Linked DNA regions of Alligator mississippiensis. The protein of the gene in region 2 purifies or fractionates together with the protein of the main gene of each other region. This does not show direct contact. Links are inferred from orthologs where the notes say so. Each region holds a gene or a part of one and is shown on either strand. Other genes may lie near its edges.

Region 1 (7,681 bases), on a different chromosome or scaffold from region 2:
TATACCTGCATCTATGCATAGATACCATTTTCATTCTCTTTTGAAATCTCCTTTTAAGCCTTCATTTGACTAAGTCTCTGGTTTGGGAGGTTTCTGGTTTAGCTAAATGAATGTTATATTTCATTCTCTCTGTCATTATTTATTTCTGCTGTCTGTTCACATGTTTGTTGATTTAATCTTTTTCAGAAACTTTAGGTTAATGATGGAAGTCGCTGTATCTAACCTTTGGAGCAGTGGCTGTGAACCGGGGGTACGTGAAGCCTCCTCGGGGGGTGCGTGAGATATATTTCATACATTGTCTAACACAGGTCGAAGGGCCTAAAAACTTAATTTCCCATTGCAAGGGGGTACATGAAGTCTCACTCTGAGCCCAAGGGCTACGTCGACTGAAAGAGGTTCAGAACCGCTGCTTCAGAGGAACGTTCTCTCTTGGTGTGTGCATCTCCCAGGAGTTGGTCCTTTTCAGGGTACTTGTCTTCTCTCCTCAGCAAACGTTATGTAGATAAGCGTGCTGTATTCCTCTTCCTAAATCGCATGCTGGGGCTTGATGATGCTTGTTCAGTTCCCTAGAGGGAGCAATATCATAATGCCAGCGGATATTCTGGGTTACTGTTGCTTGGAATACAAGGTGGCAACTGGCTGTGTTGTACCTGATCTTATCAGGGTATCATTTGCTCCGTAGTTTTGTTTGACTACTATGTCTGGTCATTTTGTTCTATTTATTACATTTTTTTCTAAAATATTACCCCAAAGCATTTTTCAGATATTTAAAAATAATACCAATTAATGAGGGTTTCTTCCCCAGAAAAAAGCCCAAAGTTAAGAGGTGATGAGTTCACAAGAAGACTGGCACAGAGCGCTTTGGTGGTGGTGGACATAGTTATGGAAAACCATTGTCCATCATAGCAGGTGGCTTGCATGGAGAACTCCAAGAATAACCCAGGTACCGCTCTCTCATGGCAGTCAGTCTGCCCCAATGCTCCAGTGTCCTAGGGGATGTCAGTCCTACGGGGTGTTATGCCAATATTTGTGAAGAGCACTGAAGTCCTTGAGCATAAGGTTCTTAGTGTTAAGTGATCTTATTATTCATATATAATTATTGCTAGCGGTTCCATCCTTAAATAAGGCTGGAATAGAGATGCTGAAATAGAGATACTGACTCAGATACAAGGATTAAAAATCCCTCCACCTTTTCAGAAGAGTAGATGTTGCCTTGACCAAATTTCATGTGAATTCATACATTCCAGCAGCCTGAATTCTTCCTGCTGTTTTAACTAGGTGCAAGATTCACTTTGGGAAGGAAGGAGGGATGCTGTCAAGGGATTAAGCTGAGGTTTGGGGTTCTGAATTCTATCCCTTGCTATATGAATAATTTCCCTTGTGATCGTTCTTAAACGATTTAATCATCTCAGGCCTCAGCTTCCATCTGTAAAATGTTGCTGACAAATACTTTTCTATCTCACAGGGCAGTTTTGAAGTTAATTTAATGTCGTAAAGCTCTTCAACTCCTTGGATGAAAGGTGCTAAAGAAGGGGGAAGTAACATACTAGTATTATTATCGCAGTCTGGTTATTACTTATGTCCTACCCAGAACAATTACAAAGTGCGGGTGTTCACTATTAAACAGCTGCTCTGTTCCATTCCAGAGGTAACAGAGCTGACTAATCCTGCCTTCCGAAGGGTCCCAGACCATTAACAGCACCACTCCAATGTCTGCTGTCCGCTATATGGCTCAGGCTGTTAAAGACAAGATTTTCTCCACTATTTGTAAAAGCACTCAGAGATAAAAGGTGCAATGGAAATGTAGAGATTATTGAAAGGTATCATAAAGAGGACTGCTGGTTAGCTAAGTGGCTCTGCAATAGACTTTACCTGTATAGAGGCAGAAAACAGAAATGTGATCTGTAATGAACAACTGATTTTTCACACTTCTTTTATATTTAAGGGAAACATGACAAAAGCCAGTCTACCAGCACAGGAGACTGTACTTGTTATCCTCCAGTCACTTCACCTCAGGGAGAGGTCTTTTCTGGACCGTGTCCCCAGTTCAGAGATGAGTTGCTTTTCAGGGTGCTAGTTCTTCCTACAACCCAGATGTCTCCAAAAATAGATGGGAGCCAGGGGAAAGTGAGCAGAACAGGTGGGTTAGCAAGTGCTAAATAAAGAAGGTGTTACGGTTGCCATTTAAAATCACCGTAGTTGGGGGAAGGGAAGGAAGAGTATAAATCCACTGACTCGGGTGGAAGGAAGCGTATTGAAAAAACAAACACAAGATATGCAGATGCACCATGTAACACAAGTTAAAAAATGTAGTTTGCTCCTAACTGCTGCAGGTAGTCTCAGTTTCCGTTATAAGACAAGATTTCATATATTCAGCCTTTCCAAATTGAGAAGGAAGAGCTAGTTCCTGGTCAGGTCTGTCTTTTAAGCACTACCTGTCAGAACCTGATCTGTTATAACTTATTTAAAAGTAACAGGATCAAGCTGCCTCTTCAGAAAAAAGTGAGGATGTCTTGCTTCTAAAGTCAAGAAACACTGAGCTACAGGAATAGTAGCTGGAAACGTCACTCACTTGATTCAACTGTCTCAAATCTTGCCCTTTACTGTACTGTAAGTGATAAAGCTCTCTATGCCACTTCCTCACCCACCCAAAGAGGCTGCTGCAGAGGTCTGCATGGCTCGCTCTCTCCTAGCTTGAAAAACACGTATTAAAAATAATTTTCCAAATACTGATTAATTAGACAAAGTAATTTGAAGAACTTTTATCCTGTCTGAAGTCCTGGTTCACCCAGATTTACAATATCTAAAGATGCACTGAATTTAACTGCCACCACAATAAAAAATAATAATGACTTAAAAGGCAGTCAAATCTCTTCCTCTCCTGTCCCATCTTTGCGTCTCTTTGTGTGACCCGTCAGCTCAGTCCACCATGGCACGTTGCCAGCCGTCATCTGTTATTTGCCCCTTTCACACTGCAAAATCCATCGCCAGCTTTGGGTACCTTCCTCACCCACTCTCTTTGCTTTCTTGGGGCTGAACTGTTCTGAAAGGTGTGGGCTTTCATCATTACAAAGCTCTCTCATCATTTCTTTTTCGTGGGAAAGCTGCTCTGCAGCTACACTCCCCTTGACTGCCAGGCCCATAGAACCAGGCACCTTTGAACCCCTCCATCGGCCTCTCCCATGCAAGGTCTTGCCTACATCTAAAAGAGAAGTTGGACCAGTTCATCAAGTCGCATACAAGCTCTTGCTTAAGGTGCTACTTTGGTCTTTGAAGCCGGTGACAGGATATGTTGAAACTATCTGAGACCACTTCTTCTGTTTTCTGTTGTGACAGCCAGATGGACCAGGACAGCCTCCCATGCACCCACAGTAGCGCAGCCACCCATCCTATTTTGCTGAAGGCTCTGGTTTTTGGAGCTTCCTAACACCTGAAACCAGGGTGTGAAACCGTCCTGACATGTTTAGAAGTAACATCTTGTACAACTCATCTCTTCGCACAGGCTGCTCCCCAGTTTAAAGCGAAGGGCCTAGCAACAGCGCTCAGATGATAGCAGCCCTCAGTGACTAAGAGCTGAGAGGGGAGGTGCTGGGGTCTTACTGCAGGTAGATGTCCTTGTGCCCTGCAGTTATGCAAAGGATGCCTGGATGCCAGCCCCGTCCGAAATTCGGAGGGGATCGCTCTACATCACTGAAATGCTAACCTACAGAACGTGCATGTTAGAGCGTCATGGGCGTGAGCATTTGAATTCAGTTGTTTGCTCGTGCCTCGGGAGCAAACTGCTTGAAGTGAGATGGTTGCTTTGCTGCCGTGGAAGTTTCCTGTCTTCAGATAAACCGATCCCTGTACAAGATTGCAGCAAGCAGGGGAAGAAGAGCACAGATACCTCTGCAGACAGGCCTTACTGATTGATTGCACGGGAGCCAACTGCTGCTGGACTTGGTGGTTCTTGAGCGGGGACAAAGCTTGATCCACAGCGCACGCTGGAGCGCTGCTAAACCGTCCTGTTCTGCGTGGCACAGGTAGTAGACACACGTGTCTTGTGCCGCACGAAGTGGGAAGGCAAAGGCGGGGAGCTCTCATCTACTGTCATCGCAGCATAAAAACCAGCGGAGCGGTGCAAAGCCCGGTAAAACCTTGGCACGAGAGCTGCCCCCCTCGAGTCAGACCCCAAAGCGGGAACAGCGGCGGGAGGGGCCCGACCTAACCGTGCGGAAACTACGAGTCCCGACAGCCCCCGCGTGCGCCTTCCGCATGCGCAGTGCTGCCTGGCTCGTCCGGGTCTAGGACTACGGCTCCCGCCAGCCCTCGCGCGCCCCTCCCGCATGCGTAGTGCTGCCTGGCTCATCCGGGTCTAGGACTACGGCTCCCGCCAGCCCTCGCGCGCCCCTCCCGCATGCGCAGCGCGGCCCTGGCTGGCCCTGGTATAGAACTACGGCTCCCGCCAGCCCCCGCGCGCCCCTCCCGCATGCGCAGTACGGCCCTGGCTTGCCCGTGTCTAGAACTACGACTCCCGGCAGCCCTCGCGCGCCCTCCCGCATGCGCAGTACGGCCCTGGCTTGCCCGTGTCTAGAACTACGACTCCCGGCAGCCCTCGCGCGCCCTCCCGCATGCGTAGTGCGGCCCTGGCTCGTCTGGGTCTAGGACTACGGCTCCCGCCAGCCCCTCCCGCATGCGCAGTGCGGCCTGGCTCGTCCGCGCTGAGGCGGCCCGTGAGGTGGCGGAGCGGCCGGGCCGGAGCTGAGGCGGCGGCGGCGGCGGCACAGGCACAGGTCGGCTAAATCACCCCCCCCGCCCCCGGCCCCTTCGCGGCACCTCTCCCCCGCCTGGGACCCGAGCCGGGCCCGCCCCGAGCGGGCTGCAGTCCCCGCCGCAGCGCAGCGCAGCGCGGCCCGAGGCCCGGGCTCCATGGAGGGGAGGCGGCGGCGGCGTCCGTGCTGCGTGCCGTCCCCGCCCTGCTGCTCGGGCGGCGGCGGTGGCGGCGGCGGCGGCGGGGCTGCTGGAGCGCGGCCAGGCGGTGCCCCGCGCGCGGGCCGGGCGGGCTCGTCTCCGCGCTCGGGGCCCGCCGCGGGCCCGGGCCTCTGGCCGCGCGCTCGCCCTTCCTGGGGGCGGCTCCCCGCTCCGCCGGGCCGCTGCCGGCGCCCAGCCCGTCCTACGCACGGTTTGGCGGGGCGGGACGGGGGTCGCCCCCGCCGGTCCCCGCGGCGCTGCAGGGTCCGTCACGCCCAGGCGTCGTGCGGCGCCTCGTCCTCGCACGTTGTCTCTCCGCACACGCGCGTGGCCCCGTCTTCTCTCCGTGCCGCCGCCGCCGCCGCCGCGCTTCTCCTTTCGTTCCCAGCCACGCGTAGGACCTCTCCGTGTCGTCGCGGGGCCGCGCTCGCGCCGTACGTACCTATAACCCGAATCGTTTCCTCCCCGGTGTTTTATTTTGCGAGCGCGGCAGGCGCCGCGACGTGGCGCGGGGCGTTGCGCGCCTCGAGCGTGGAAGGAAAGCGCAGGTGCCGATGCCGCGAGCCGCCGTGGGGAAAGCCTCTCCAGTTCCTCTTGGATGGAGTTTGAGTCGGCGGAGACGCCCCGTTGCCCGTCTCTAGTTGCGTTTGTGGCTGGGTGGAAGAGCTGTCTCTAGTCCCTTTGGAGGAGCCGCCTCTTTCTGACCTGTGCCTCTGTGACGTCGGTTGTGGGCATTTCCACCGCGTGGTGTTCGCCTGCCATCCGTCGTGCCCAGCTTCCCGCGCCCGTTGTGCCGTGCGTCCTGGTCGGATTGCAGGGTTACTTCCGCTTGCTTGTTCTTGGTTACGAGCTTCAAAAAGAAAGCTCCGGGCTGTCACTAGCTGCGCTGCGCTGCGCTGCGCTGCGCTGCGCGCTGGCTGGGTGCATCGGTTTCCTGTCTTCTAAGGCTTAAGTTCTAATTTTCTTAATCCTCCTTTACTGACAGCACTCGCAACGAAACTTGAACGGGCAGAGTTAATTTCCAGAGTGTTTCTGGGCAGGTGCATGATGTTTAACATGCATGTGGGAGGCTATATGCATGTCAAGTCCCCACAGCCTTGTGTGCTGTTCCACGTAGACCAGGCGCAGGGCCGCTTACTGAGTTTTGGCAAGCCATCGACGGCCACATGACAGGCAGCCAGCAGCAGATAAATATTAACTTTCTAAATTTTTTAAGGACCCCATAGGTCAGCTAGAATGGTGTGGCGGGCCGCGTTTTGCCCACCCCGATGTAGACAGACCCTTGCATGGACATAGTGCTGTTAACGCCAGTGGGACTTGGCCCAGGGGATGTCACCAGCATTCATCGATGCAGAATATCTTTTGGAAAAGGGGACTATATTAGCATGAAATGCAAACAGACTCTCTATTATTCTGCTTCTCTGAAAAATTCTCTTTTCCTGACACACTGTGTCCAATCCATTGCAAATGCGCTTTTCCGAACTGATTTTTGTGTGGTTTCTCTTCTTGGCCATTGGTGAATTCTGCTAACAAAACCCCTTCTTTGCCTTCTGAAAACCTCCAGAAGTTTGACTCGGGGAGCTGATCCTATGTTTGACAGTTGTAACAGTTCTGAAATTCAACTTCATTTTTGTATAGGGGGTTTTGTAATGTCTGGATGAAAACTATATCTTTGTTTCCCTTGTCAGCTTTTCCTTGTGACCTTTTCCTTTGAGTTTCAAGATTTTTAGGTAACATGGAAATAACATCTTTAGAAATGAGGTTTGGAGTAAATGAAAATGATCTTCTGGGCAAAAAAGCAGTTATGGAGACTGAAAGATAAAGGTTCTCCCTTGTAAATATGGACAGCAATCTTATTTTAAAGTGTTATCAAACTCAAAGCCTTGACACTTAACAAGTATTAAAGACCTTGAAGATTGTAACCTATTCATTTTTAGTGAGTCAAAACAATATTTGTGTTTGGAGCTGGGGGATCTGCTTTCCACAACTTCGTGCGCATGTGCTATGGCATAATTTCCCCAGACTTTCAAGCTGATTTTCCTTTTAACTGTGCACTGAAAATAAATGTTTAAGTATGCTAAAATAAACTTGTGGATACAGACAAAAGTGCTGGGCTCCAAGTCTGTAAATGCAAGAGAGAGAGGAATTACAATATGGTTTAGTAGTAATTGCATATCTGTATTGATTTAGATTTATAAAATGCTGGAATTAAAAGATGCTAGTTTAAAAACTGTTAGCCTTTGACCTAGACTACAAAGGCAAATCATTACCAATTCTCACAGGCTCCTGACCCACCACTCCTGGGTGTGTCGAGAAGAATTTGACCATGTAGCGTGTGTTGAAGGTCAGCAGATCTCAGAGACTTGAAACCAGTTCCATTTGTTGATCCAGAAGTTGGGAGCCGTTCCCAAAGAGCAGTCTGGCCACTTCTCCTCGGATCCGGGGCACTCTAGTTTCTGCATTTCGGCTGGTTAATTTCCAGTATGGTAATACAGCACATGAAGTGAGACGGTCGGTTAAGAAAGTCCCACATTATTGGGAAAATTTATAGTTTCTAAATATCTCCACACTTCTTGGTTTTTGTTTTGTTTTGTTTCTTCAGCACAGGAAATGATTGTATAAGAAATAAGGCCATTTATTGAAACATGAGCTTTTCCTAGATATGGTGTATGTCTAACTAGTTACTAAGAGACCAGTCGCCATATTCAGGACATAGAAAAAGTAAGGGAAT
Region 2 (7,758 bases):
AATAAAGAAAATATTATTTCCAAAATTACTTTGACATGGTCAAAAATTTCTATAATTTGTCATGAAGTGTGACAGCATGAATATTTCTTCACTTCGAAAAAGGGCTGAAATATGTTGAGATGCTCTCCTTCTGATTTTAGCTGTTTACAGTTAGGAGTCTTCGCTAGCAAAGCAAACAGTATGCAGAAGCCACAAAGTAGCTATGTGCTTGTAGCATTTATACCAGTTTTGGCCTAACCTATCAAATATTAGAACAGCTTACTATTCCTACTGTTCTCTTTTTCTATATTGGACATTCTTTGTACAATTTAAAAAACATTTGAGAACCCCTGCAGTTTTGTTTTCTTATCAGGATGCTAATTTCAAAGGCCTAGGCATATTAAACCCCAAATTTGTTCTCAATAAAGTCACTTAAAAAATTTAAGTACGGCTGAAATTCTACTTCTTGAATCCATTGCTGTAAGTAGTCACCAGGATACTCTTCTAAATCCTTACAGCTGGGGGGGGAGCAGAAATACAATAGCACAGGGGGCTGGGGCAGAATTGCTTACCTTCCCTAAAGGCACATTTGGGCAAGTCTCCTTCCTCCACTCGCATCAGAGTCCCTCCCCAACTCTTTTTACTCTTCCAGCATATCCTGTACTGTGTACTAGGAAAGGACTGGGGGGAGGAAAGAGGCAGAGGGGTAATGGAAGGCGCACACGCACACACAGCCAACTCAGTAACGTAGATGAAACGTTAACATCTGCTGAAGGATATCAAAAGCTATCTATGGTTAGGCAGTGAACCAGTATAAGAAAATAGATTAGTTAAAACCTTTAATATAACAACTCTTAATTGTTATTCCCTACTTAAAATGGTTGGAAGAAATTAGCACATGCCAGTTAAAAAAAAAAAGTTTGCCAACATGAAAGGCTCAGATTTTTTGTTGTTTTTGTCAACATATTTGAACATCATCTAGGTGAGCTTTTAAGCACCCTATCAGAACAAGAAGTAGTCAAACAAATTAAGATTTAAACTAGGAATTCAGGATAGTCACCAAAGGGCTGTTCCTGAAAACAAACAAGCAAGCAAGCAAACAAACAGACAAAAACCCCACTAGATTTTGCTGGAAAAAAAAAAATCCACATCATTAGCTGGATACAGTAACTTCCTTTAACCATCATGTTTTCAGATTGGCTGTTTTAAGTCATTTGGGACCCAAAGGGAGCACAATCTGAAGGTGAAGGACCCTCGAGCAGAAAGCACTGCAAGCAATGCCCTCTAAGGATTGTCTAAGACAGAAAATATGGGACTAATGCTGTAGTGCTGCAGCTAGCTTCATACCTTAGAGCTCTAGTACAGTACTGCGATACAAATACTTGCCCATCCCCACACTCTGCTTCCATCTTTGTTCCCATAGTTAAGAACCACAAAAATGGAAAGATACAAGTCAGTTTCCTTTTATATATCAACTCAAAAGCCTCCGTTGATCTGAAACTATTGCAGAATGCTGTGGGAAGAGGAACAATCTCTTTGTTTGTGTGGTGTAGACAATATCCAGAGGAAGGTCATTAGGAGCAGCTATTACTTTACATTCACACATGACTTAGCCTGATTTGACTTCCCTCTGCAGACCATTTTTTAGACCGGTAGGCACCAAGCCACCAGGTTTAAGGTGCTCTCTCTCTCGTTTGTAAAGTGCAGCCTGAAATCCAAAGACAGCCAATGGAAGTTCTGAAATACAGGCATAACATGTACATAGCAACACACCACTTTCCTCAGCCTTATACACGAGGCGTTGAAACAGCCCCCAAATTTCTCCCCACCCCCCCAAGTTCATAGGCCATCAGCTAGAACAGGGAGTTTTCATTGAGTACACATTTTACTCAAGGATAAGCAACCTTGAGAGCCTGCAAAGAGAGTTTCATTTAGCTGTTATTTCTGATTACATACAGCCTCTTGAATTAAAAATGTGGCTTAGGAGAAAAAAATTAATAGTTTGTAGGCAAATCTATTACACTGACCACATGCACAAAAGAGCTCAAAAAGAAAATAACTAGACCTATGGCTACTTTGTCACTGTCAAGACAAGAAAAAGCGTTGTTCTGACTTACCTTTTGAAAACTACCCCAGTTTTCAAGAACTCCCCTCCCTCCAAGACAACGTGCTACATATAAACATTTATTTTACATAAAATAAATTCAGACAGACCCAAGTCATTCTGACTTCCTCTTAAGCACATTCAAAATCTTTGCTTAACATTTAAATTAGCAACGGGGTACAGTGGCCTCAATCAAAATTGAGGGATCACTGCCTCAGGGTGGGGGGTTTATACCAAAAAAAGCAGTTTACAGAAATCACAGAAAGTTAGGGCTAGAAGGGAGGTCATCACAAAGTAGGACGAGCCCCAACTCCATCATCCCAGCCAGGGCTTTGTCTAGCTGGGTCTTGAAAATCTCCAAGGATGGAGACTCCACCACCTCTCTGGGGAGCCTGTTCCAGTGTTTTACTACCCTCTGACTAAGGAAGTTTTTCCTTACATCTAACCTAAACCTCCCTTGCTGCACCTAGAGCCCATTGCTCCTTGTTCTGTCATTTGCCCCCACTGAGACCAGCCCAGCTCCATCCTCCTTGCAGCCCCCCTGCAGGGAGGTGAAGCTGCTATTCAATCCCCTCGGTCTTCTCTTCTCCAGACTCAATCAGCCCAGTTCCCTCAGCCTCTCCTCACCGGTCCTGTCCCGCAGCTCCTGAACCATTTTCACTGCCCTCCGCTAGACTCTCCAACTTGTGGGCCCCCCACAACAGAAAGGATGTGGACAGCTAGACACAGGACTCCAGATGTGGCCTCTCCAGTGCCGAATAGCAGGGGAGAATGGTGCCCTCGATCTGCTGGCAGCGCTCCTAGCAATGCAGCCCAGGATGCCGTGAGCAGCCTTGGCAACAAGGGCACCCTGCTGGCTCCTACCGAGTTTCGTGTCGCCCCCAGGCCCTTGCCTGCAGCTCCGGCGTGGAGCCGCTCCCGGAGGCCGCGCACCCCGGGGTAAGGCGCGGCCAAGCAGGAAGACGGGCCGGTTGCAGGACGCCCGTTCGGAGCGGTCCCGAGTCATCCTCCGCCGGGGACTCGGGTAGGCCCGGCAAGGCCCCGCGACCGGCGGCCGGGCCAGGCGGGCGCCGCCGCGCCCAAGGTCGCAGGGGAGGAACGGCGCGGGCGATCGGTGCCCCGGGCCGCGCCGAGTCAGAGGCTTCCCTCGGCCCCGCAACGCCGCCGCGCCCGGCCCAGCCTACCCAGGTAGATGTCCCCGAAAGAGCCACTGCCGATCTTCCGGCCCAGCCGGTAGCGATTCCCGACGCGCAGCTCCATGGCGGCGGCGGCGCGGCCCGCGGCTCAGAGACTGGCGGCGCCCGGCACCATCGCGGCCCCGGGACCGCGCGCGGCACCAGGGAGGTGGAGGATGGACGCGGATTCCCGGGGGCCCGGCGCCTCCTCAGCGGCCCCCGGCCTGAGCCGCCATGCTGTGTGACCTCACTTCCGTAGCAACGGGGCGGGGCTTCCGGCCGCTTCCGGCGCGCGGGTCCCACCTTCCGACCCGCTGCGCTTGGGCCCGGGCACAAAAGCGCGTCCGGGATGACCTAGTCTCCCAGCCCTGGAGCCCGGGATCGAGCCCAGCCCAGGAACCGGAGGGACCGAGCCCTCCCCCCACCTGCTGCTTGCACCACACTCTCAGACCTCGTTTTCTGGCGGCGGCGGCGGAACGCCGGGCCGGGCTCAGCTTGGCTCCCTCAGCCCCTTCCAAAGCACGGCCAGTCCCGGCTGTTCTCAGGCGCGACGTCCTTGGGGCCTTCGCCTCCTTGCAGGGGCAGGCCCTGCAGTGCGGGCAGCGGCCCCTCCAAACAGCCCCTGCCTGGCAGACGGCACATGGGGCAGGGCACAGGCAGCGACCAGGACAACGCCTGTCGGGTGTGGGGGGTGGGCAGCAGTCAAGGGAGACCCAGGCGGTGGTGAGCAGGGACAGGACTTGAGGGAAGTCTAGGTGGGGGGTCAGAGAGCAGGGGGTGCAGGCCAGGATTATGGCTGCAGGTGCTGACCAACAGAGGAGGGTGCTAGGAAGGCTCAGAACAAGGTGAGGAGTAGTAGGGTACAGGATGGGTCTCAGGCTGGGAGTGGGGATGGTGGGGAGGGCCCCCCAGACCAGACTGGGGCTCCAGCATTCATGGCTGCCCTCACCCTGCCCCACCCCCACCTTCCCGGGTTAGTTGCACCCCACTGCAGGAAGCCTTGCCCCTCACTGACCTTTGGGGACCCTAAGTTTTGGGGGGCCCTGGGATTCCCACTCATCCTCTTAACATGTCATCAGAGCCCCCTCCCCATACTAGCTCAGTTCCTTGGGACCCTAAGGGCAGCAGTGCCTACCCCCAGGAGGCCCTCACCCCACCCCCAAGACTCCCTACACCCCATGGGTCTGCCCCCCAAAAAACCTTCCTTGGCCCCACCCCAACCTTGTGGCCTTCTGCTGTCTCTGGGGGACCTTTGTGTCCTTGACTACCTTTTTCCACAGTCTCAGTGCAAGAGCCATGCCATCCAGGGTCCCATCTGAGGTGGGGACCCACCTTCTCAAGCCCTGCATGCTGCCTCTACACCTTTGCTACCAGTCTTCCTCTCAAGCCCCCCTTAACACTATTTACCCTCCTGTCCCTCTCCTCTCCCCAGCTATCTGCTCATGGGGGCATCAGGACACAAGGGGGAGCAAGAAAGCCCACCTCCATGAAAGGCCCCTGCCCCAAAGTTTGTTCTGTGCAACACCAGCCTTTTAAAGGCAAGTGCATCAACTTGGACCTTCCATTCCCTCTTAACAAGTAAGGTACTACCACCCAAGCCAGAAGGAGAAGCAAGAGACAGGTCTATAACTCAACCTTTTCATTACACCTCAAAGCACAAGAATAAATACTTCTATCTATGCCTGCCTAGTTACCTGCAACACCACAATACAGATTCTCACCTCTACCAGCTGGGGAGATGCAGGAGGGAGGAGGCTAACAGCAGGTTGTTTCCACTTTGCAAAAGTCTTTGTAAAGTTTCCCTGCATTTACACCTAAAATTTATATGTGGGTTTTTAAAATCACTGTTCTGATAGCAATAGGTGTAATGCAAATGTGTTTCACTGAAACTTTGGGAATGTGAGTGAACTTGTTTTTCTGTGGGCTTGGGAGATGCCAATGTGCTGGGGCCTGTGTCCCTGGAGTCCGATACAACTCTGGAATAGAGGAGCACTGCTCATCTCTTTCCTTGTGTGCCTGGGAATGCTCTTTGCCCTGTTGTGTTTTACTCTGCTGTTCAGACCTAGTTTAATTTCCAGCAGGTTCACAAAACCAAACATCAGGTGCTGCTTTGAGCTGCTCTTTCCCACCTGTCCAGAAAGCAGTTACTGGTTTTCAGTCTTGTCTATATTATTAAAGGCTGGAGAAACAGATTCTTATTGCACTTTCTCAGGCTCTTCCATGTGATGTAAATGCAGCCCTGGCCCCTTCTGCACGGGGTCGCTCCTTGCTCTTGGGCCTGTAGGGGTCACCTGGGTCTCGGCCACAGCACCTGCCCCGTTTTACCCTGCCCATTTGATCTCACCCATAGATACTTTCAGTGCTTGGCCTCATCATCACTCTCCGTTCCCCATGTGCATTTTGCGGCACAAATCCATGGTGCCGGCGTTCGGTTGCCGCAGCCTGCTCCCAATGCACGTGCGCCTGGAGGTGACAACTCGATAGTTTCGGCACTGGTCCTGTCATCACTGCCTGTGTAACCATGGAAACTCATCCATGCCTCCTGCTTTGGCAGAGCTCCCGTATTCCAATGATGCATGCACCAATCCATAGTCTCGGTGCTTGATGTATTTCGTTTGGGATCACTACGCATGTGGGTTTACTAGCAACATCACTCAATTCAGTGTTCCATTCACGCAACCTTGCACCGCGCATGCCCAACTGCTTTGCCCATAGATGGGCAAATGCAATATGCCACTTCTTCCTAAGTACGCATGCGTGTTCATGGCCCCTCATCGATGTTTTTGTCGAGCTTCCGCGCTGGTCCTCTAATCAGCGCCTCTGTAACCATGGAAACAAAACCATGACTCGAAGACGAATGCGCAAATCCATAATATTGGCGTTCGGCGCACTTCGACTGCGACCACTACGCATGCACACTGACAAGCACGAGTCAGCCACTCGTTGCCGTGCGCATGCGTACTTGGTTTGCCCACTAGTGGGCAAACGAGATAGCCCCCCTCTTCCTTAGGGCGCACGCGTGCTTATGGATGCTCGTCGATGTTTTCCTCGCGCGACTGGCAGTTGGCTCTGTACAGCGCATGTGCACTGGGTCCCACCCCCCCCCCAAGTGATGGCTTAATGCCGCCTCACTTTCCCCGACGCTGGTGCCGCGGCCCCGGGTGGCTTCCGCTGTGGGCCCGGAGCCACCAGTATTGTCCGTAGCGCTCATTCCCAGTGCGCATGCGCTCCGAGACCCGCGCCTTGATAGTTTTGGCTCTCGTCCTGTCGTCATTCCTTCTGTAACCATGGAAATCTATTTCTGATGCTTGGTCTTATAGCGTCCGCAAATTCCCCGGAGGCATGCGCCGCGATCGCGGTTTTTTTTGATAGCGCCCAGTACGCATGCGCAGGATCCAGAACCCTCGATAAATTCGGAGCCCAGCTGATCAACCCTTCAGCAGCCCGCGCGTGGCCAGTCGATTTGCCCATTGATGGGCAAACGCGATGCATCGTCTCTTCCTGAGTGCGCATGTGTTTTCGTGGTCTGATATAGACGCTTTCGGCACTTTATGGGGAGCCCACTCTGTACCATGAATGCGCAGTGGGTGTCCCCCACTGATAGCTTAACGTGGCGGCTGCTTTCCCACACGCCAGTTCCGTACTTGGCGTGGCTGAAGCTCCGGGTCGGGAGAAACGTTGCGGGGGGGTTCATCCCTGCCCCGAATATTGACTCCGGAGAAGCCTAGCGGTCATTCCCAGTGCGCATGCGCATTGAGCCTCTGTAACCATGGAAACCCATCCATGGCTCCTGTTCTGCCAGTGTCTGGTATTTGACAGGATGTACGCACAATCCATAATATCGGCGGTCGATGTGTTACGTCTGAGACTACTGCGCATGCGGACTTGTCAGTACCATCGAGCTATTCACTATTGAAGTGATAAGCGCCTCACGCATGCGTACTTGCTTTGCCCATTGATGGGCAAACGTGACGCACCGCCTCTTCCCAAGTACGCATGCGTGTTTATGGCCGTTCTCGAGAGTTCCGTCGCGTGACTGGGAGGCCCGGGCTCTAGAGCGCATGCGCAGTGCGTGTCCCTCCTGGAGTCCGTGCCTGGGCTGTGCGCAGCTGGGCGGTCTGGCCGTGGGCTGCAGGAAGAAGGGCCTGGCAGCGGAGAAGTCTGCGGGGCCGCTGCTCCTTTGTGCCGAGCAGCACCTCCTGCTTGGCCGCCGCCGGTCCGGATGGCTGGTCTGGGGGCGCTCCTGCCGCCGAGTGCGGAGCGGGGCGGCCCTGCCGCGGGGTGCCGGGTCAGGCGGGACGGGCGGCCCTCCACGGGCCAGACTCGCCTCCGAGCCCTGCGGTGCCCACCCCGGGGTCATCTGATGCACACACGCTACGCCCAGGAGATCTCTGGACAAGTACAAGAAAAGCCAAAGCAAGTTCTTCAAAAAAAAAGTTCACCATTTTATTGGGACCTACCTCGGTAATTGAGCACCTCTGCCAAGAGCAGCTACATACA

Evidence for each region.
Region 1: the proteins of CSNK1D (region 2) and GAPVD1 purify together in Homo sapiens (affinity purification with mass spectrometry; 5 studies listed by BioGRID and IntAct, counting the BioPlex papers as one, with this or other methods). This does not show direct contact. The link is inferred for Alligator mississippiensis from reciprocal best matches to the Homo sapiens genes CSNK1D and GAPVD1.

Annotation. Positions count from the first base shown.
Region 1 is NC_081835.1:66,455,598-66,463,278, forward strand, and holds the start of GAPVD1 (GTPase-activating protein and VPS9 domain-containing protein 1), read left to right. Parts: upstream 1-4,667; 5' UTR 4,668-4,772; intron 4,773-7,681. UniProt on the Homo sapiens protein: Acts both as a GTPase-activating protein (GAP) and a guanine nucleotide exchange factor (GEF), and participates in various processes such as endocytosis, insulin receptor internalization or LC2A4/GLUT4 trafficking.
Region 2 is NC_081831.1:124,437-132,194, reverse strand, and holds the start of CSNK1D (casein kinase I), read right to left. Parts: upstream 3,105-7,758; 5' UTR 3,090-3,104; coding exon 2,948-3,089; intron 1-2,947. UniProt on the Homo sapiens protein: Essential serine/threonine-protein kinase that regulates diverse cellular growth and survival processes including Wnt signaling, DNA repair and circadian rhythms. It can phosphorylate a large number of proteins.